Notamacropus eugenii: one gene and its partner. The protein of the gene in region 1 purifies or fractionates together with the protein of each later gene. This does not show direct contact. Links are inferred from orthologs where the notes say so. Each region holds a gene or a part of one and is shown on either strand. Other genes may lie near its edges.

Region 1 (11,041 bases):
GTCTTACCTATAAGTTGAACATACTTGCAAGTTTGTGCCTCAGTTTACCTTAATTTCAATGAAGACGCCTTTTACTTTGTATCAACTCATTGGACATTGGAGAAACATTACATGTTGAACGATAATAGTTAAATTAATGATTGTAGACTACCTAACAGCTGTTAGAGCCCTTTCTACCCCTTCTCACCCCTACGTCTTTCTGCACTTTTTCTTTGGAAGTAGCTCTCAAAAGGTAGAGGGTTATTTTGTACTTTTATCTGGTTCATGACCTGGTGATTAGCCTTTCCAGACTTAGCTAGACTGACACTTGAAGAGTAAACAGTGTCTATTATTGAGTTCATACTTGAAGGTAGCAGTCAGATGGTGCCACAGTACACAGAGTATTAGACCTGGAGTCAGGAAGATCTGAGTTCAAATTCTCCCCCAGACCCTAATTAGCTATATGACACTGGGCTAGTCACTTAATCTTTGTCTGCTTTTGTTTCCTCATCTGAAAAAAAATAATAGCTGACAATTATATAGTGCTCGGCACTGTTGTAAGCATTTTATGATTATTATCTCATTTGATCTTCACAACAACCCTGGGAGGTAGGTATTTCCATTTTACAGATGAGGAAACTGAGGCAAACAGAGGTTAAGAGGTTTGCCCAGGGTCTGAGAATAATAATAACACCTTCCTCACCAGGTTGCTGTGAGGATCAAATGAGATAATATTTATAAAATGATTTGCAAACCTAAAAGCAGAATATAAATAGTAGCAGCAGAAGTAATGATAGTAGTAGTAGTAGTGATAGTAGTAGTAGTAGTAATATAGTGATAGCAATAGTAATAGTAGTAGTAGCAGTGATAGTAATAGTTGTAGTATAGTGTTGGCAATAGTAGTTGTAGTAGTAATGATAGTAATAGTAGTAGTAGTATGGGGGTAGTAGTAGTGATAGCAACAGTAGTAGTAGTGATAGTAGTAGTAGTAGTGGTAGTGATAGCAATAGTAGTAGTGATAGTAGTAGGTAGTAGTGATAGCAATAATAGTAGTAGTAGTAGTGATAGCAATAGTAGCACTAGAAGCAGCAGCAGCAGAAGTAGTAGCAATTATTATTATTATTGTTACAACTACCTCTACGATCCTCTCAGCTTGGCAGGAACTGCCTGAGCTTGTGCTCAGCTAAGAAAACCCACCTCTATAACACAACTTGGCTTCAGAGTATGACTTCTGTGGAGCTGCACAAAGTAGAGAATCAAACATTTGAATGAAAACTATGAAGAAAAAACTGACAGGAACTTATGATTGATTGGAATGTGTAGACCAAGGAAAACTGGGGAATCAGTCAATCAACAAGCAATGTGCCAGGCACTGAGCACATTTAGTAAGAACTTTGGATACAAAGAAATGCAACAAACAGTCCTTGCTCTCAAGGAGCTCACAATCTAGTGGGAAGACAACATGCAAACAACTATATACTAATAAGATATAGACAGGATCAATTGTAGTTAATCAATACAGGGAAGGCAGTTTGCCTCAATTCCTCATCTGTAAAATGAACTGGAGAAGGACATGGCAAATCTCTCCAGTATCTTTCCCAAGAAAACCTCAACTGGGGTCACAAAGAGTCGGATACAACTGAAAAATGACCAAACTAATTTGCACTAAGGGTGAATCAAAGAGAAGATTCTTGTAGGAGATGGAATTTTAGCTGGGACTTGAAGGAAGTCAAGTAATTTGGGAGGCACAGAGGAGGAGAGAGAGCATTCCATGCATAGGAAACAGGCAGTGAAAATGCCCAGAGGAAGAGCAAGGAGGCCAGCGTCACTTGATCACAGGGTGTAAGAAGACTGAACAGGTAGGAGGGGGCCAGGAAAAGATAACTTACAAGTTTTCAAGCATTAATAACCACAAAAATAAAGGTCCCTCAAACAGAAAAAGGGGAGTAAGAAAGGGAAACCAGTGTATGGGGAAAAGATAATGTGCTCAGTTTGGAATGTGCTGAGCTTGAGGAAAAGGCAGAACTGATTTCCATTAGGCATTTAATCCACTGGGCTATACATTTGTAATGGTGACCGATCAATGAGTACTGGCACGATGAGCATGTGAGGAGCATGCTGAAGACATGGTGTGAAAGGTCCAACTGTCTGCTTCAGAGTATGTGCACAAGGTCGTATGACCCTTTTCGACCCACTCTGAATGCCTTTTAGTTGGCTACTGAATCAGAATGGGGCATGTATATAAAAGATTCCCAGCTCTAGGCCCCTTTCTGGGCTTGGATTGAAATCAGATATGCCGTAGACCTCTGGGTTCTGGAAGAGGTCTTAAGCTTTTCCTAACCCAGACAGTATGTGGCCTCTGACGGCTGAGTGTCTCTGCATTTTACTTCTTGGCATGTGTTTTCTTTTACTCTTAAATGGAGTTTTGGAGATGCTTCAAAAGTAGTAGGAGCCAAAGTCCAGTCCCAAGAGTTCATGCTAAATTTGTGAGCTGCCTCAAAAGGAGTAACTGGATCTTAGCTCAGCAGGAGATTAATCCCATAGCCAAGGCTCTGGATTGCTCATTCAGAAATGAATTTGGTGGGGAGATGAAAAACTTGTAAAAGCTTTTGGTTTGAGCTCATTCTCCCTAGGAATTGAGGTGGTATAGGTGAGAATATGTCCACAGGATTAAGAGAATGGTTGGTACTTGTATTCTTGCTTTATTTGAGCAGTATGTATCCCTTTGTAAAAGCTAATTGATATTAATTGGTTAAAGGAAACTGGGCTGCTAATCACCAGTGACCCATATTGGGGAGAATACACCCAAATGAAGACTTGGGCCAATAGCATTGAGAAGTATCCCCTAACTCCTCAGAGGTATCCCTAGAATCCTGAGGGGAAGATGTAGTCTTGCTTTGGGGCAGTCAATTCTTCAGCATAAGTGAAAGTCAGGATGAGGACTCTCAGTTTAAATGGGTCACATGCATATTCTTCAGGTACACAGCTAGGACTAGACATGGGATGGAGCTTTTGGTGTTACAGGTGGATGATAAAGGCCTGGAAAGTGATTCTATTTTCTGAGGAAGTGAACATTAAAAAGCATAAGAGGTCTGAGGTCTAAATCTGAGGTAATGCTCATATTTAGGGTCACATGGGAGAGAGAAGGGAATAAAGGACAAGCAACTGGATGGGAAGAGACACAATATATTGACTTCTTTAGGAAATCTTTCTTGAATATTCCAGTTGTTCTATCTCTCCCTCTTCTGAACTCCTATATCATACCTGATTATCCCAAACAGCTGCATGAGGACAGAGGCTTTTTCTTATTTAAACATTTTTTTCTTATTTTTGATCTTATTAAAAAAAAAAAAATCCTCCCAGCCCCAGCACAGGGCTCTCTTAACACACATTAGGAGTTAAATAAGTGTTTGTTGAATTAAAACTGATAGGGATAGGGACTAGATTTATGATTTCACTGGTGTGCAGAGCTCCCATTTCCCATTGAGTAATAAAATGAAACCATTCATTAATTAGCACAGGGTTTTACACAAAACTGGAGTTAAATATTTGTGGAATTGAATGAAGTAATTTTTTTTTTTTTGGTGAGGCAATTAGGTTTAAGTAACTTGCCCAGGGCCAAACAGCTAGTAAATGTCAAATATCTGAGTTTGAATTAGAACTCAGGTCCTCCTGACTCTGTGATGTGTTCTGGCCACTCATCTGCTTTAAAAAATAGAAAACTGGGAAAGCTAGGTGGTACAGTGGATAGAACACCTGCCCTGGAGTTAAGAGGACCCGAGCCAGACAACTAGTAGCTGTGGGACCATAGATAAGTCATGTAATCTGATTGCCTAAAAACAAAATTGCCACTTACAGGAGAGTTTCAAAGAGATTCAGGGTGGTATTGGATGCAGAGATACATTTGGATACAGAGATTCAGGCTGGTATTGAGAGATTCATGGTGGTATTGGATACAGAGATTCAGAGTGCTATTGAGAAATTCATGGTGGTATTGGATACAAAGATTCAGGGTAGTATTGGACACAGATTCAGGGTGGCATTGGATACAGAGACTCAGGGTGGTACTGGATACAGAGGTTCAGGGTGGTATTGGACACAGATTCATGGTGGTATTGGACACAGATTCAGGGTGGTATTGGATACAAAGATTCAGGATGGTATTGAGAGATTTTGGGTGGTATTGGAAACAAAGATTCAGGGTAGTATTGGATACAGATTCAAGGTGGTATTGGACACAGATTCAGGGTGGCATTGATACAGAGACTCAGGGTGGTACTGGATACAGAGACTCAGCGTGGTATTGGACACAGATTCAGGGTGGTATTGGACACAGATTCAGGGTGGCATTGGACACAGCCTCAGGGTGGCATTAGATACAGAGACTCAGTGTGGTATTGGACACAGATTCAGGGTGGCATTGGACACAGACTCAGGATGGTACTGGATACAGAGATTCAGGGTGGTATTGAGAGATTTTGGGTGGTATTGGATACAAAGATTCAGGGTAGTATTGGATACAGACAGATTCAAGGTGGTATTGGACACAGCCTCAGGGTGGCATTAGATACAGACTCAGCATGGTATTGGACACAGATTCAGGGTGGTATTGGATACAGATATTCAGGGTGGTATTGGATAAAGAGACTCAGGGTGGCATTAGATACAGAGACTCAGAGTGGTATTGGACACAGATTCAGGGTGGCATTGGACACAGAGATTCAGGGTGGTATTGGACATAGAGATTCAGGGTGGCATTGGACACAGACTCAGGGTGGTACTGGATACACAGATTCAGGGTGGCACTGGACACAGACTCAGGGTGGCATTAGATACAGAGACTCAGGGTGGTATTGGACACAGATTCAGGGTGGCATTGGACACAGATTCAGGGTGGCATTGGACACAGACTCAGGGTGGTACTGGATACACAGACTCAGGGTGGCATTGGACACAGACTCAGGGTGGTACTGGATATACAGATTCAGGGTGGCATTGAACACAGACTCAGGGTGGCATTAGATACAGAGACTCAGGGTGGTATTGGACACAGATTCAGGGTGGCATTGGACACAGATTCAGGGTGGCATTGGACACAGACTCAGGGTGGTACTGGATACACAGATTCAGGGTGGCATTGGACACAGACTCAGGGTGGTACTGGATACACAGACTCAGGGTGGTACTGGATACAAAGATTTAGGGTGGCATTGGACACAGATTCAGGGTGGCATTGGACACAGACTCAGGGTGGTACTGGATACACAGACTCAGGGTGGTATTGGATACAAAGATTCAGGGTGGCATTGGACACAGACTCAGGGTGGTACTGGATACACAGACTCAGGGTGGTACTGGATACACAGATTCAGGGTGGCATTGGACACAGATTCAGGGTGGTATTGGACACAGACTCAGGGTGGTACTGGATACAAAGATTCAGGGTGGCATTGGACACAGACTCAGGGTGGTACTGGATACACAGATTCAGGGTGGCATTGGACACAGATTCAGGGTGGCATTGGACACAGACTCAGGGTGGTACTGGATACACAGACTCAGGGTGGTACTGGATACAAAGATTTAGGGTGGCATTGGACACAGATTCAGGGTGGCATTGGACACAGACTCAGGGTGGTACTGGATACACAGACTCAGGGTGGTATTGGATACAAAGATTCAGGGTGGCATTGGACACAGATTCAGGGTGGTACTGGATACACAGACTCAGGGTGGTATTGGATACAAAGATTCAGGGTGGCATTGGACACAGACTCAGGGTGGTACTGGATACACAGACTCAGGGTGGTACTGGATACACAGATTCAGGGTGGCATTGGACACAGATTCAGGGTGGCATTGGACACAGACTCAGGGTGGTACTGGATACACAGATTCAGGGTGGCATTGGACACAGACTCAGGGTGGTACTGGATACACAGACTCAGGGTGGTACTGGATACACAGACTCAGGGTGGTATTGGATACAAAGATTCAGGGTAGCTCAGTAGCGAAGGGTGGGAGAGCGCTAAAGTGAGGGAAGGCATCGAAGCCGGACCGAGGCGGCTGCGTGCGGTCCGGACAAATCAGTCACCCTGGGCTCAGTGTCCGGGGCTCACACGGTTACGCACGTGCGGCGCTCTCGGTTCCAGGGCTTTCTCCACGGCCGCGCCCCCAGCAAGGGCAGGGGGCTGTACCTGACACTGGCCTTTGAAGAATTCCAAATCCCGCGCTCTTTCTACCACCCACCGACTGGGGCAGAGAAAGACCGGCCAGGGCAGGCGCACGCGCAGTCGCACCGGCCCCCCGGCCCGGCCGGGCTTTGAACCTCCTCGTGCTTCCTGGGGGCTCACTGGCAACCGCAGCCGCCCGCCCCCGAAACCCGCCGGGACCGCTGAAGGGAGGAAGAAGGGGAAGGAAGAGCGCAGAGAGGAGAGCGAGAGGCGGGACGCAGCAGCGGGGAGGGGCAGGAGCGGAAGGAGCGAGAGACACTTTCTACTCTGTGATTGGGTGATCGGAGGCACGAGGGGCGGGGCTTCAGCGACCGCAGGCTCCTTAAGGGCGCGGTCATGTGATTGGGCCAAGATGGCTTTCCCCACGCTGTTCCTGCTGCTGCTGAGCGCGGCCCTCATCCGACGGCCCCCGCCAGCCTCAGCCTCCCCGCGGACCGAGCCTCCTCAGGAGCCGCTGCCGCTGGTCATCTGGCACGGGATGGGTGAGCCGGGCCGGGCCGGGCGGGGAACGCCAGTCGCGGGGGTGCTAAAAGGTTGTGCCGGCTCTCTTCCTTTGTGGAGGAAACGGGCACCCGGGCGAAGGCCCCCGGCCGGGAGTCAGGCATCCCGGGTGCCTGAACTGGCTCTGCCCCGGCCAGGCACTGCCCCTCTGGGGACCCCAACCCCTCCCGCCTCGGCAGCTCCGTAAGATTTCCTGGGCGCCTACCTGTCAGCAGCCTGGTCTTTGCCAGCCAGAGGCAGCTGCGCAAAGCGGGTGGAGTGATGGGACGTGGGTTCGAATCTAGCCTCTGACACTTTGGGCACTTGGCCGGTGTGCCCCTAGGCACACACGGGTGATCTTGGACTTAGACGTTGGTGGTGGTGGAAGGTGTCCAGCTCCCCACTCTGATCCGCAGACGATCGCAGAGGCTGAAATCTCAGAGCTGGGAAGGAGCATGGGGTCAAAGGTTTAGAACGGGTGGGGATCTTAGGGGCTGTCTGGTCCCACAGAATTCAGACTGGCTTCCTGATTCTAAGTCCAGGGTTCTCTGCAGCCTGCCAGGGGTCACTTAGTCCAGCATGTACCTTCAAGAGAATGGGCTCTGTAACGCCTGATCCTAAGACAAGCATTTCTTCTATAACACCTGTTGACCTTGGAGTCCTTTGTAGCCCCGATATACTGGGATCATAGAGTTAGAGGTCAGGAGCCAGAAGGGTCATGCAGTCCAACCCCTTCATTTTGCAGATGAAGAAACTGAGTCCCCGAAAGGTTAAGAGAGTTAACTAACAGAATGTTAGCTCTTTGAAGAAGGAAATGTATCTTTTCTTTATTTCTCAGTTTCATCACTTTGCATGGTGCTGGGCACATAGTTGGTGTTTAATAAATGTCTCTTGATTGGTTGATTAATGTACTATGCAGATTGCAAAGCTGAAATTTGAAAACCAGGTTTGGTGATTTCACATCCACAGTTCTATCTCCATACTTGTCCTTTCTGGGTTGACAGTCATTTTGGGGGGATGGAAAGGGGAAGTGAGAGCTGCCAATATACCTATAAATCTGTCAGAATTATGGATGTGAAAGAACTTTCCAGTCTCTAAATTGCTGTGCAAACATGAACTGGGATAGAATTATAATTTTATTGCTATATATCACAATTCTTCTAGATCTTTGGATGGGAAAAAATCCATTCCCTAGGGCTAATTTTCTGGTTAGGATCCTCTCTGGGGTTAACTAGGACAGAGTTCCCACCTAAAGTCTTTGCAGTTTTTCAGGACTACCAGAGAAGTCAGGGCCACTTCTGTACTGTAAGGAGAATATCAGTGGAGGAAGAGATGATTATCATTATTACCACCCCAGAAGCTCTAGATAGGAAAAGAATGTGCAGCTTAAGTGTCACATCTAACATGAAGCCTTTCCTGGTCTCAGTTCTAGGTGAATTTTCCTTTTCCCATCTCTCTTCCTTTTCTGACCTTTATACTCATCACATTCTAACTTATGGCTATTGATAAATGCCATATTTTCCTGCTAATTTGTAAGTCCATAGAACTTAGAGCTAGAAACAGCCTTAAAGCAGATGTTGGAAAGGACCATAGAAATCATTTAACCCAACAGACTCAGTTGTTAATGATATTAATAATAGTTACATTCATGTATCATGTTATGGTTTGCAAAATATAAGTACTTTGAATACTAAGTATAAAATACTAAGGTATGTCATCTTCATAATCAATTTATTAGTTTGTCTGTTTCTTCATTCTAGAGATGAGGAAACAGACTCAGAGCTTCTGTGATTTGCCCGAGCTAAAACAGGTGGTCGTAAGCAGAGCCGAGACGTGAATCAACATTCTCTACCTCCGAATGTCATTCTTGTTCCACTGCATCTCACTGAGGACAAGGACTAATGACATTTTTCATCCATAGTGCCTTGCACATAATTGTAATGATAAAATAATGTTTACATAGGGCTGTGAAGTCTACAAAGTTCTTTCTTCCAGTTATCTTGTGAAATAGGTGGTATAGTGCCACTAGGTAATGAGGAATAGTGGCTAGAGTGCTGGACATGGAGTCAGGAAGACTTGGTTTCAAATCCTGCCACAGATAATTGCTAACTATGTGACCCTGCTCCGTGCCTCAGTTTTCTGATCTGTAAAAAACAAGGGTAAGACTTGATGGCTTCCAAGGTCCCTTCTGTAATTTTATGACAATCCTTGTGAAGCAAGTCAATATTATACCCATTTTACAGATGAACCAACAGGCCTGCAGGAGAGAGGTGACTTGCTCCAAATTATAGGTAGAAAGTGGCAGGGCTGGGACTTGAACCCACATCTCCCTATCCCAAGGCTATTGTTCTGTCTGTTGTATATCTATAATGATTGTGTGGCTACATCATTGTTTCCCTGTTAAAGTGTTGTGGCTTCTGAAGCTCACAGATGATTCTATTTGTAACACCTAAAACTTCCCTTGTTTTCTTTCTTCTCCTGTCTAGGAGACAGCTGCTGTAACCCCCTGAGCATGGGGGCCATTAAAAAAATGGTTGAGCACAAAATACCAGGAATTTATGTTTTGTCTTTGGAGATTGGGAAGACTCTGATTGAGGTAATACATCCACAAAGCTAAGTCACTGAGGGACTTCTGTTAGACCAAGGAGCTCATGATAAATGTTCAGTTGAAAAGTGATTCATGTGGTTTCATTTTTTCTTATAGCACTCTTCCTGAGAAGATAATTTTATTGGGTCTTTCAATGGAACTTTCACTCTTAGTGACCTGAAGGAGGGACTCCTGGGTGTCTGCCAGGCTTTTGGAAGTATCTCTGTTCTCTTAATGTAGAAGGAAAGTGGTATTTATCTAGAATAAGAGAATCCCAGCCTGGCAGAGGCCATCTCTTGTCTACACTCCCCTCCCCCTTACTTTATAGATGAAGAAACTAAGCTTAAAGGGACCCAGGGACGTGTCTAAAGTCATATAACTAGTTAATAGCAAAGCATAACTTCAAAACTGAGGCTTAGAGAGGCTTTTAATAGTGCTATGACTGTGGAAACTTGGTTTTCATAAGCTCTTCCCTTTCCTCCTCCTCCCCCTTCCCTTTTCCTCCTCCTTCCTCTTCTGCTCTCCCTCCCCTCTCCTCTCTTACATCCCCTCCTCCTCCTTTCCTCTCCTCCCTTCTTCCTTTCTTCTTCTCTTCCTCTTCCTCTTTCTTTTTTTCTCCCTTCTCTCCTTTTCTTCCCTTCTATTTCCTCCTCTTCTCTTCTTTTCTCTGCTTTTTCCCTTCACCCTTTCCTTCCTACTTACCTACCCCTCTCCTCTTCTCTCCTATCCTCTCTTGTCTGTTTTTTCCTCTCCCCTCCCCTCCCCTCCCTTCTCTTCCTCTTCCTTGCCTCCCTTTTCCCCCCTCCCTTGTCTCTACCCCTTCCCTTCTTTCCTCCCCTCTCTTCTGTCCCTTTCTCTTCTTTTCTCTCCTCTCCCTCCTCTTCTATCCCCTTCCTTTCATTCCTCTCTCCTCTTCCCCTACCCCTTTCCTTTTTCCTTCCCTTCTCTTCCCCTCTCTTCTTCAGGATATGGAGAACAGCTTCTTCTTAAACGTGAATCACCAGGTGACTCTAGTGTGTGAGATGCTGGCCAAGAACCCCAAGCTGCAGCAAGGCTACAACGCCATGGGATTCTCCCAAGGTGGCCAGTTCCTGTAAGTCCCTTTCTCTCACCTCATGGGTAAAGGACTTTTTGGTATTTTTACAAAAATGGTAGCCTGTGTTCATTGTGACCAGGAATTGCAGGGTCCTTTACACGTGTGTTCTCATTTGAGCCTCACAGCAACCCAATGGCCCAGATACTACAGGTATAATTAGGCCCATTGTACAGATGAGGAAACCAAGGCTCCACAAGGTTAAGTGTCTTGCCCAGGGTCTCATAGCTGGTAAGTGTCTGAGGCGGGGTTCAGACTTAGGACTTCAGAGCTGTCTGTGCTGTATGTCACTGCGCCTCTAGTATCTGTTTTTATGTATTTATTTATTTGTTTTTATTTTTTATTTTTAATGTTCTACAATCACTACCATAAACCTTAGATTTTTTCCCCCTACCTGCCCCCCCCACCCTCCTCTCTCCCCAAGACAGCATATAATTCTATATAGGATCTACACATACATTCCTATTGAATACATCTTCACCATAGTCATGCTGTGTAGACGAACTAAAATAAATGGGAGAAATCATATAACAAACCAAAACATAACACACACACACACACACACACACACACACACACACACACACACACACACACACACACACACACATGATCTGCTACATTCTGCGATTGAATTCCATAGTTCTTTCTCTGATTGTGGAAGACAGT
Region 2 (10,969 bases), on another chromosome or scaffold:
TGGATGATTTCTAAAATCTTTTTTTAAACCTTTAGCCTATGAATGCAAAAGGTACAAGTTTGACCTGCAGCCTTCAGGGGTTGCTGAGAAGTTAGTTAGAGCAGCTTTGTAGTAAAAGCAAAAGTGAAGCATTAATTACATATAATAATCTGACTTCACCTGGGTGCACAGCATTTCCACTTAGCTCTTTGCTTTCTCTCTGGTGGCCTCGTGAGACAGCACTTTTGGGACTCCCATCTGACAAGTAGAAATGAGTACAAATAAAGCTCTCCTCTTTCTCTGGTGGGGAGCAGGGAGCCTTGAATAGTCTTATGGGTCTGGATTTATGCTTTCTTTGGCATAAGCCTCCCTCTATGAACTTGTAGATGCAAGTCTGGTGCAACTGGCAAGCATTGTAACCTGAGGACACTGAGAAATACTGAAATGGTTTGCTCAATATCATCCAGCCAGAATATGTCAGTAGAGGGACTGGTCTCTCTGAATCCCAGGTGTGCTCTCTATTATGCTACATTCCTAGAATGTCAGGGTTAGTAAGGCAGTCCACAGGTATTCTTCAAGCACTTAAAATATGCCAGGCGCTGTGCTGAAGAGAATACAAAGAAAGGTAAAAATGCTGTTTCCCTCGTAGAGAAACTGTATCTTAATACAAATTCCTTGAGAGTAGGAAGTTTCATTCTTTGTATTTTTAACTCCAGAGCCTAGCACCATGTCTGGCACATAGTAGACACTTATAAATGCTTACTGGCTGATTGATTAAAAAAATAAAAGCTCTTATTCATGTCAGACAAGTTACTTATGTGTCCAAGGGGAAAAATAAAAATGGGAACCAAGTCTCCTGGATCAATAAAACCAAACCTCTGTGTCCCTTGATTATACAGCATGACACCTTTAGTGAACTTTAACAGACATACTCCATGCTCCAAATGTATGACCTTGAAACTTAGATGTAGTTAGGGAGAATAGCAGGCTCCCCAGCTGCCTTTCTTGACCTTCTGTACCCAGCACAGTCAGACTAATGGAATAAATAACTACCAACACTGGGTATCATTCTTGGTTGTTTTTTGTTTTGGGGGGTTTTTTTGCTCATCTTGGGAAGAAGAATCTTTCCTTACCCCAAGGCTCAGTTAGGTGGGATACTGAATGAGGTAGAAAGGAATGGGAAATCAGTTTTGTTTATTGACTCCAAAACATGAAGAAGAATTCTTTCCTGAAACTGTTGGCCAAGGCCAAGACATTTATAAAGGCTCCTATGCCTGCCTGCTTTCAGCAAATATCCCATTTTTCTCCCAATATATTTTTATTTTGTTAAACATTTCCCAATTACATGTAAATAAATTTTTAACATTTATTTTTAAAATTTTTGAGTTCAAAATTCTTCCTTTCTCTCCTTCTTGAGAAGGCAAGCAATTTGATATATGTTATACATATGAAGTCAAGAAAAACACATTTCCATGTTAGTCATGTTGCAAAAAAAGAAAAAGACCAAAAAATCCAAACAAACAAAAAATCAAATTCTAAGAAAATTAAAGTAAAAAATTATGCTTCAATCTACATTCAGACTCCATCAGTTCTCTCTCTGGAGGTGAATAGCATTTTTCATCATAAGTCCTTTGTAATTATCTGGGATCATTACACTGATCTGAATAACCAAGTTATTCACAATCATGCTTTTATTATGTACAATGATCTCCTGCTCAATTTTTGGATCAGTTCATATAAGCCTTTCCATATTTTTCTGAAACTATCTTGCTCATCATTTTTTATAGTGCAATAGCATTTCATCACAATCATATACCCCGCTTTGTTCAGCTGATTCCTAGTTGATGGGCATTACTTTGATTTCCAATTCTTTGCCACCACAAAAAGAGCTGCTATAAATATTTTTGTACTGTTTGTACCGTAAAATTTAAAACTGATTTTAATTATATTTTAAAGAATCTATTTAAAGAATCCTGTAATTACTCAGAATTCAATTCTGTTCTGAATTAAATCTTCACCCTTGTATTGTCTACCTTTGTAACCTCATCCACTACTCACTTAAGTTCAGGGGTGTATGAGGTGTTTCAGGAGGACCAGCCTCAATGGTGTGAGGGCTTGCTGAGCCCTTTTCAGAGCTACTCCACCAACTTTCGTGTCCACCTTTCACCTTTTACTTAGCTATCACGTAGGGCTCCAAGAAGCTGTAGAATCCACAAAGGGCCACCCACTACCAAATTGGGCAGATGGGCCAATCCAGTTTGTGGGTAACCCAAGGGCCTCAAACCTGTGGGTGAATGATAGGGATGCCTACCCTAAGCATGTAAACTCTTCCTTGGCAAAATAGGCAGATGAGAACAATTTGTTCAGCCATGAAGGCAGCTGAAGCAGTCCCTTAAAGTGAAGAACTCAGATCTTGGTTAGACATTGAAGATTCCAAAGTAATCCACTACATCTCCACCACCGCCAGTCTTCCTGATTTTTATCTAGCCACTGGCCTATGATGACTCAGGAGGAGAGGGTGAGGTTGATGACTTTGTGCAACTCTATCTCATTTAAATCAAATTCACCCAAGATTCAAGTTATTGGTCCTCTTAAAAAGCAAAAGGAAAACAATTCAGATTCAAGTTGATTCAAGTCTGTAGGCTAACCCTTTCAAGTTAGGATTGCTTTTATCTCCCCAAAAGGAAGAAATGAGAAGGAACTGAGGTGATTCAACCCACCTCCTCTTTAGAAGATAATACACTTAGAGCACCGGAAATTTTTCTCTGTCATCTTGTCAATTGTTATAAAAGACCCTGTTAGCCCTCACTCAGGGTCTTTGGTCATTGAGAGAGGCCATTGACCCAATTTATTGGGTACTGCTTGCCTAACTACTAAATGTATCATGTTTGGGATCTTGTTTCTCAGTTTATCTTGATTTCAATCATAACAGTACATATAAGTTCTTTTCTTTTTTCTTTGATCTCTTTGGGATACAGACCTAAAAATGATATTCCTGGGCCAAAGAGTATATAGGCCTTTGGGAGTAGTTTCAAATTGCTCTCCAGAATGGTTGCATCCCTTCACAACTCTACCAACAGTTCATTAGTGTCCCAATTTTCCCACTTCGCCTCCAACATTTGTCATGCTCCCCTTCTGTCATATTAGGCAATCTGATAGGTGTGAAGTGGTACCTCAGAGTTGTATCAATTTGCATTTCTCAAATCAATAGTGATTTAGAGCATTTTTTCATGACTATGGATAGCTTTGATTTCTTCTTCTGAAGACTTCCTGTTCATACCCTTTGACCGTCTATCAAATGAGAATGACTTATATTCTTATAAATTTGATCTAGTTCTCTATATATTTGAAAAATAAGACCTTTGTCAGAGAAACTTGCTGTAAAATTTTTCTTCAATTTCCTGCTTCCCTAGGTATCCCAGTCTTAATTAAGGAGGTGAAAGGTTATTTGTATTTGGGAACCCTTCTCAAGTTTCCTTTGGCTGTACTATCTGTCCCAGATATACATGCTGATAGGCAAGTACTATAGGTTGTCCAGCCAAATTTATGTTGTAATCTGGGTAAAAGGTGCTCTTCTTCCACTTGGCCTTTCTGGTATAAATAGTCCAGTCAGACTTCTTTGACTGATTATTGGGCTGCCTATTGGAGTTCTGCCTCTAATAGATTCTGGTCATGTGACCAGACAAGTTTACGTCTCAGTGTCTTTGATAACTCTAAGACAAGCAGTTACAGAGGAGTTTCCTCAATGAAAGCATTTTTCACAGGAGAGCTCCCCAAAATGATGAAAAAAAAATCTGTTTTCTCCTTCGCACACTGAACATACACAGTTCCTTCAGCTGATCATGTCCAATTCCCTCCTCCATCCGAACTGCCAGACTTCTTGTTTCAGCTTGTTCACGGGGTTCCTAAAATACAGCATCCAGAACTGGACACGGTACCAGTGCAAGCGCTGCCAGCTCCCTCCCTCCGGACACCAGACTTCTCTTGGTGCGGGCCAAGGTTGCACTCCTTTGGCTGCTATGTCATACTGTGGATTTAGCCACATGACAGGGCTGCGCATGAGGGAAATAGCTTAGAAGAGTACACAAGTGTGCAGAGTGGGCTGGGGAGAAATTGGAGACAGAGAATTTAGAGGGCTACTGAATCAGCCAAGAAGAAGAGCCTGAAATGGGGAGGTGGCGGAAAGGGGGACTCAATGGAGACGGGGTAGGAGAGAGGGGTCAAAGGTAACACCATGGTTTTAATCCTGGCTAACAGAGGGGAAGGCTCTGCCCTTGACAGAAAATGCCAAAAGGGTCAGTTTTGGCAAAAAAGTGACAAGTTCCAATTTAGACGTGTTAAATTTGGGGTACGGTAGGGCATCCTGTAGGCATTTGGAAGTGCACCCATTTAATAAGGGTGCCCCAAGGGAAAGACAGAGAAATTGGGAAACATGCCCTTTCCAACTCCATCAAGCACAGGCCTCAGGCAACAGGGGCAGTTGTTTCCCAAAGCGGAGAAGAACGTCTGGTGAGCCAGCCCAGAGAGCGGATGGACGCAGGAGAGGAAGGGGGTGCTGGTGTCATAACACAGACCAATAAGGAAACGTATCCCGGCCTTGAATGTTTAACTTAAACTGCTATCCCGGCCGGGGCTCACAACACTGACCCTGAATGAAAGAACAAGATCCCTCTTCAAGCTCCGGGTTCAAAAAGCCCCAAAGTCACAGGAGGCTGAGGGGCCTGCGGTCGTGGGGGCGGGGAAATCAAGCCCGAAAGGCTGGAGAGATCTCCGGGGCCTGGGAAGCGTGACGTCCGGGTGTTTAGACACATTCACCCAGTCCGTTACTTCTTCGGTACTTCTACGGCCAGCAAGGCTTCACAGACAAGGCGGCACCGGCCGTTACCCACGCGGGACGGTCTGCTTAATGCGCTAACTCGGAAAACCACCCGACTGCGCGCAGATCACTGCATCGCTGTCAAGTCTTTGGCCTGCCTGGCCCGGCTGCCCATGTGTACACTGGGAATGCGAATCCCATTCATTATCTGTGCCAGCCCTTTCAAAAGGAGGCGAGCTGGGAAGCCTGGGTGCTCCTAGGCCAGTGCCTCTCCAGCCTGTCTACGGGGGGGAAAGTGGGAAGAAAGTGTCGGGTCGCAAAGCCCTCACAGGAAAGCAACGAACGAGCCGGGCTGGCTAGAGTAAAGCGGGCGGCAGGCCCGGGAGGGTGCCCAGCGGGTGTTTATCTCTAGCTCCGGGCCAGGTCGCCCCTCCCTGACCCAGGAATCTGCACGCCCCGGCTCTCTCCGCCCCGAGCCAATCATGAAGGCGGGCGCACGCGCGCGCGCGGGAAACCGAAGGGGGAGTCAAGGAAGAGAGGGGGAGAGCTAAAATCCTGGGTCATTTGCACTAGCGCCACGCGGAGACCAGGGCTACCGACCCTCTTCTAATCTCCCAATCCCAGGCTTCCACAGGAGGCGGACGGGTGGAGTCCAGTGCTACAATCCAAAGGCCGTCACCGCCCAGTCTGGTCTATTCCTGGCCCACAGTCAGTCGGGAGGGCCTTCCCTCCTTGCTCTTGCTCCCTTCCCCCACCAGCTGTCTTCCATCCAATCAGCAGGCACTTCCTGCCCTCCCTTTTAGCCAATCCGCATCCTCCACGAAGAGTAGCCCTAGGGGGCGTGTGGAAAGGTATCTGGAGCGATGGTCAAACAGACCAATGGAGTGCTAGCACGATGGGAGAGAGGCAGGGTTGAGATGCAGCATTGACCAATCAGAAACTAGGGGTGGGGCCTGGGCAGGGCGCCGCGCGCGTTGGGGTTCGCTCGGCGTCCTCCTAGTCCTGAGGCACGTGACGTTCGCTTCGGGACGATCCGCTGCAGCATCCGAGGTGCTGGGCGTGGGGCGAGGGGGTGGGAAGTGGCGCCGGCGCCGGCCGCGAAGCACGAGGTGAGACGGACGCAGCTGCCCTAGTCCTGGGGACTTGGGCGGCCGGGGTCTGGGAGGTCGGTTCACGTCCGGGGCGGAGGAGGGCTGGCCTAGGCTGGCCAGGCTTGAGTGGTGGGGGAAGAGGCCTGAGGCCCTGGGGACCAGAGGACTGGTGGGAGTGACGCGGTCTGGGGCTGGGGACCGGGACTGCCCAGCGGAAAAGCAGGATGGAGCCCGGAGCCGGGCCCGTGCGAAGATTTGTGGGAGTGGAGAGGCCTGCGGAGGGAGGCCGGACGGGAGGTCAGCGGGGCCGGAGCCCGGAGGGGGGCGTGACCTCCGGGCCGGGCTCGCCGCAGCGGGCGGCGGCCCAGGCGCCTCGGAGGCCCGCGTGCCCCTTGTCTGTTCGCTCATCCCCAGGCGGGCGATGTGCGGCCTGGCCCAGCCCGAGTGGGAAGGCCTCTGGGGAGAGACAGGCCTGGGGCGGCGCGGGGGAGAGAGAAGCCATCTTCCTGCGTTTAGGCAAGAGCCCGGGAACGTACCGGACGAAGAAGGCAGACCCTCCCGGCCACGAGGTGGCTGAGATGTTGAGAAACCAACGATCTCGAAACGGGGGCAGGGTGGGAAAGGGGACCTCGCTCAGGGGGTAGGTAACTTGTTGGGAAAGAAACTGCTGGAAGACAGGTCGAAAAACTTGTTCCTAAGTGTTAGGAACGTGGACGTCTGTCTATATATAGTTCTTCATTTGTCTTTAGAGAGTCATAAGTATTCCAAAGAGTTTTGGGAATCTTATCTCTGGAAAGATAACCTTTCCAGGGCCGATCTCCTTGTTTTAGTGGCCCAGAGAAGGGAAGCAACTTGCCCAAGGTCACACAGCCAGGTGATTGGCAAAGCTGTATGGAACCTCATTCTTCTAGTACTTTCTTTGGTGGTCTTAAGCCCATACCATTTTCTAGGTCCCTTAAGCTCTGATACAGTACTAGAAGTAATATTTTCTCTGTTTCAGGCATTATATTCTCACTTTTAAATTCTGTCTTCCACGTGGGTGCTCCCCATGAGACTTTTCTGTCCTTCGACAAGCACTCTCTTGGCTATACCACTATCCAAGTTTCTAACCCTGTGCAGATAATTCCTCAATTTATAGTTCCAGACACATCTCCAAATGCCTAAGGAATATCTTCATTGGACATCCTACAGAGACCTAGACCTCAACATGTCCAAAAGCACATTAATTATATTTTTATCAAAACAGATTCCTGAGTACTGGTTTGTATCACCACTCTCTACCTAGTTTGCCCTGAGGGCAGCGGTCCTTTTGCACTGGCAGGTGTTTAACAAATGTTCGCTGAATTGATTAAAATTTTTGGAGTCAATCAGTGTGACTAGATCTTCTGGAATCCATCCATTCTTGAACTCTTAACCAGCCCTTTTCAATCTTTCATTCCAATGCCAAAATAACCTTTGAAAATGGATCTGGTCATGCCACACTTACAAACAAAAGATCTTTTTAAGTGGCTCTCTCCTGCCTACTGAGTAAACTTCAACAACTATTCCTGGTATCCAAGGCTCCAAGCCTGGAATCACCCCATCTACCTTTCCAAACATTATTCTTTAACATGTTCTGATCCAGCCAAACTGGACAACCTTGTGTTCCTGAGCGCAAATAGCACACTCAACTTTATGCCTTTGTTGAAGTTGACCCTCTTTTTCCCTAGTCATCTTGTGAAATCCTACCCAGCTTTTAAATCCCAATTTAAATGTTAACTTCATCCCAAATGCCTTCTTTGATAATAATCACATTCTCCTCAGACCTCACTGGCATTTTGCTTTCTAATTCTTCAAGGTTCTTATATGGTATTGTGTTGCAAATTCATATTGATGTTGTATTTCTCTAGATTTTTAGAGGATAGGCAGTATACCTTCTATATGTTTTATAACATCACATAACCATTGCTCTGTATTGGTAGGTGCTTAATAAATGTTTGGGGATGGGAACAAGCATTTATTGAGCACCTGCTATGTGTCAGGCACTGCACTAAACATTTTACACATATCTAGTTGAGATGTTGGGGAGAAGGCAGGGAAATTTAGCTGTTTACCATAAGCAAAGGCATTTATGCTGATGAAGAAAAATAAACTTGGAGTTGGTGGTAAATCTCACCATTGCCACTAAGGGACAATTTGGAAGGCAGTACTGACATGTGTCTACAATATGGGAGAGGAAAGAAATATGCTGGAAGGGAAACTCCAAATTACTTTTAATTTTGAATTAGATTTTTGTGTGGTTTTGAATATTGCTTTGGAATCGAGCTTTGTTGAATATTTTTTTAATGGGGTACTATTGTGATGATCTGTTACCAAATATAAAGTGGATCTTTCTTGAGCCATGGAGGCAGCTTTTCTTTTGATTCTTTCGCTCTAGTCCGGGCTTAAGAGTAATTGTCAATTTCATGGTAATTCTCACTTTGTGCAACCTAATGTAGTAGGTGAATGAATTATAAAGAAGCTTTGGTTAAAAAAAAAAAATCTTAAAACTGAAATTAAAGTGACATGTATTGGCACTACAGGTATATGTAGTAAGTTAAATTTGAGACTAGACAGGACTTTTTTCTGTTAAGATATTGGGGGATCTGAGTATTCTTTTCTGATTTTACTAATACACAAGTTGTATCTATTGTAAGTGCCTTTATCACAGTAAACGCAGATCCTTGGTATCAATATGGAGAGCAGACTTTTGTTTTTGATAACTAGCATTAAACTGCTGAATGATAATCTTACAAAGCCCACTGAGTTAAGTGGTTCTAGAAGAAAAATCCTTGCTGCTACTTTGTTACATAATATTAGGCTGTGCATTTGCCCCCCAAATGAGGCAATTTTGGTTGGTAAAGTGATAGCTAACACTAGGGCTGGGTAATGAATGGTGTTTATATGTAGCAGATTTCAGATTTAATCTGGGCCTCAGTGTCTTCTGTAGTTTGGAGAGATAACATGGAATTCAAACCAGATGATCGCTCCAAAAATATTTTGAAAAGCTTAAAATACTACTCAAATGTAAACTAAAATAAATCACTGTAAGATGTGTCAATACTCAGAAAAGAATAAAAACGCATAAACTATGTATGTGATCCAGTACATTGTATTGAAAACTAAATGTTAATAATAAGATGAAATAATACAATGTTTAGAATGACAATTCAGATAATTCTTTAGGTAAGTTTAAGTTTTACACTTTTAAAGAGTTTGCTTTTTAAAGAAATCAGAGACTCGAATATTTAGCATTACTATTTTATAAATGCAGTTGTAAAGAATAAACAACTGGGTCTTCTGTTATTGACAGAGGCCAAAAAAAGGGAAATAAAGAGGTAGTGGAAGTTATTCTTGCAATTGATGGGTGGTAGGAAAGACTAGGGAGAATCTGAGAAGTGCACATGGATTCAGCCTTCTTGATTTCCAGTGGAGTGAACAGAGGCCCAGAGGTAGGGGCATGACTTGCCAGGGTGTCCAAGCTAAGTGGCTAGATTCAAGCCTGCATCTTTTGATTGTCTTTTATGAATCATTTTTCCTCCTTTATTTTTAAAATAAAATTTTATTGATAGTTTCATGAGTATTTTTTACATCACCAGAATTTCACCAGTGTCCTCTAGCAAGTCATTCCATATAACTGTTTGGGGTGGGGGGAGTGTTGGTAAACACATCAAAAGAATCTGAAGTGCCATACCTTTGGACCTCTTCCCTTTACAAAGATTTGGGATTATCTTTACTTTGAAACTCGTTCTTTATAATTTGACAGCATTACTTTTGGGGGGAGGTTTGTTTTTTGGGTTCTTTCCATTTATATTTTTGTCACTGTTTTCTTGTGTTCACTCTGCATCACTTAATGTAAATCTTTCCATGTTTCTGCACCATCATAGTCATCATTTCTTACAACAGAGTAATATTCCATTGCATTCACATTAGCCATTCCCTAGTTGATGGTCATCTACTTTGTTAACAACTTTTTGCTTTCACAAAAAATGCTACTATAACCATTTTGGAGTATATGGAATACTACTTACCTCTTGGGTTTTGTTTTTGTTTTTTTGTTTCGTTAAGTGTTCACTTTTTTTTTTAGCCCTGAAGAAAGATTATGTTAAACTTTGGGAAATATTTTCACTTTGGGTCCAATTCTTTACTTATAATTACACAGAAAGGTATGTTTACTATTAACCTATTTATCCTTTCAACAGTGACCAAAAAATGATATGGACTAACAACCTTAGAAATTTTTGTTTTTATACTTTTAGGTCCTATGAGGAAGTTTTGGCATAGTGGAAAAAGGACCAGACTTGGAGATAGAAAACTGAGTTTCTAGAGCTAGCTAGCTATTTTCACTGTAACTTTGAGAACAGGTCATTTTCATTATCTAGGGGTCTCAGTTTCTTCATTTCTGAAATGAGTGAGTTAGACTTCTAGTTATAATATTTCATTCTCCTGTGTTATCTTGAGAATTATTTGAGGACCAAAATTAAATGTAAAAGCTGCTGAAGAACACTTCCTTTTTGGTGAAAACCAAATCTTTATAAATTAAGGAAACTACCATTTGATAATTTTATTGACAATTACTGACATTTGTGCAATATTTCATAATTTGCAATGTACTTATATATTATATTATGTGAACTTAACAAAAGTCCTTTGAGATAGGTAATATTATCCTCATTTTGTAGAGGAGGAAATTGAGGTTCAGAGTTAAGTGAACTAGCCTGTGATCACAGGGCTTAGTAGTTGTCAGGCAGATAAGTTTCTACCTGAACAGAAGAGGCAGGTACTGAACTCTCATGCAAACAGTTGACTAGCAGTGAAATATAGTTATCACTCCTGCAAATAGATGTCAGTTACTTTAGACTTTAAGCTTCCAGAAAACAGTGATCCTTTTCTGATTGAAAACCTAATTATATTTGATTGGTCAGTGATGGAAAAAAAAAATCTTGTTTCTAGAAAGGACCTTGTAATCTAATCTAGCTCAGATTTCTCATTGTTTAAAGTAGTGGTGTCAAGCTCAAATTCAAAGATTTCTTCAGGCCACAAATTGACTTAGGAAAAAACCTTA

Evidence for each region.
Region 2: the proteins of PPT1 (region 1) and CANX purify together in Homo sapiens (affinity purification with mass spectrometry; 3 studies listed by BioGRID and IntAct, with this or other methods). This does not show direct contact. The link is inferred for Notamacropus eugenii from reciprocal best matches to the Homo sapiens genes PPT1 and CANX.

What each region holds. Positions count from the first base shown.
Region 1 is NC_092876.1:78,948,090-78,959,130, forward strand, and holds the start of PPT1 (palmitoyl-protein thioesterase 1), read left to right. Parts: upstream 1-6,506; 5' UTR 6,507-6,564; coding exon 6,565-6,694; intron 6,695-9,178; coding exon 9,179-9,288; intron 9,289-10,244; coding exon 10,245-10,372; intron 10,373-11,041. UniProt on the Homo sapiens protein: Has thioesterase activity against fatty acid thioesters with 14 -18 carbons, including palmitoyl-CoA, S-palmitoyl-N-acetylcysteamine, and palmitoylated proteins. In contrast to PPT2, PPT1 can hydrolyze palmitoylated proteins and palmitoylcysteine.
Region 2 is NC_092872.1:416,714,526-416,725,494, reverse strand, and holds the start of CANX (calnexin), read left to right. Parts: upstream 1-5,722; 5' UTR 5,723-5,904; intron 5,905-10,969. UniProt on the Homo sapiens protein: Calcium-binding protein that interacts with newly synthesized monoglucosylated glycoproteins in the endoplasmic reticulum. It may act in assisting protein assembly and/or in the retention within the ER of unassembled protein subunits.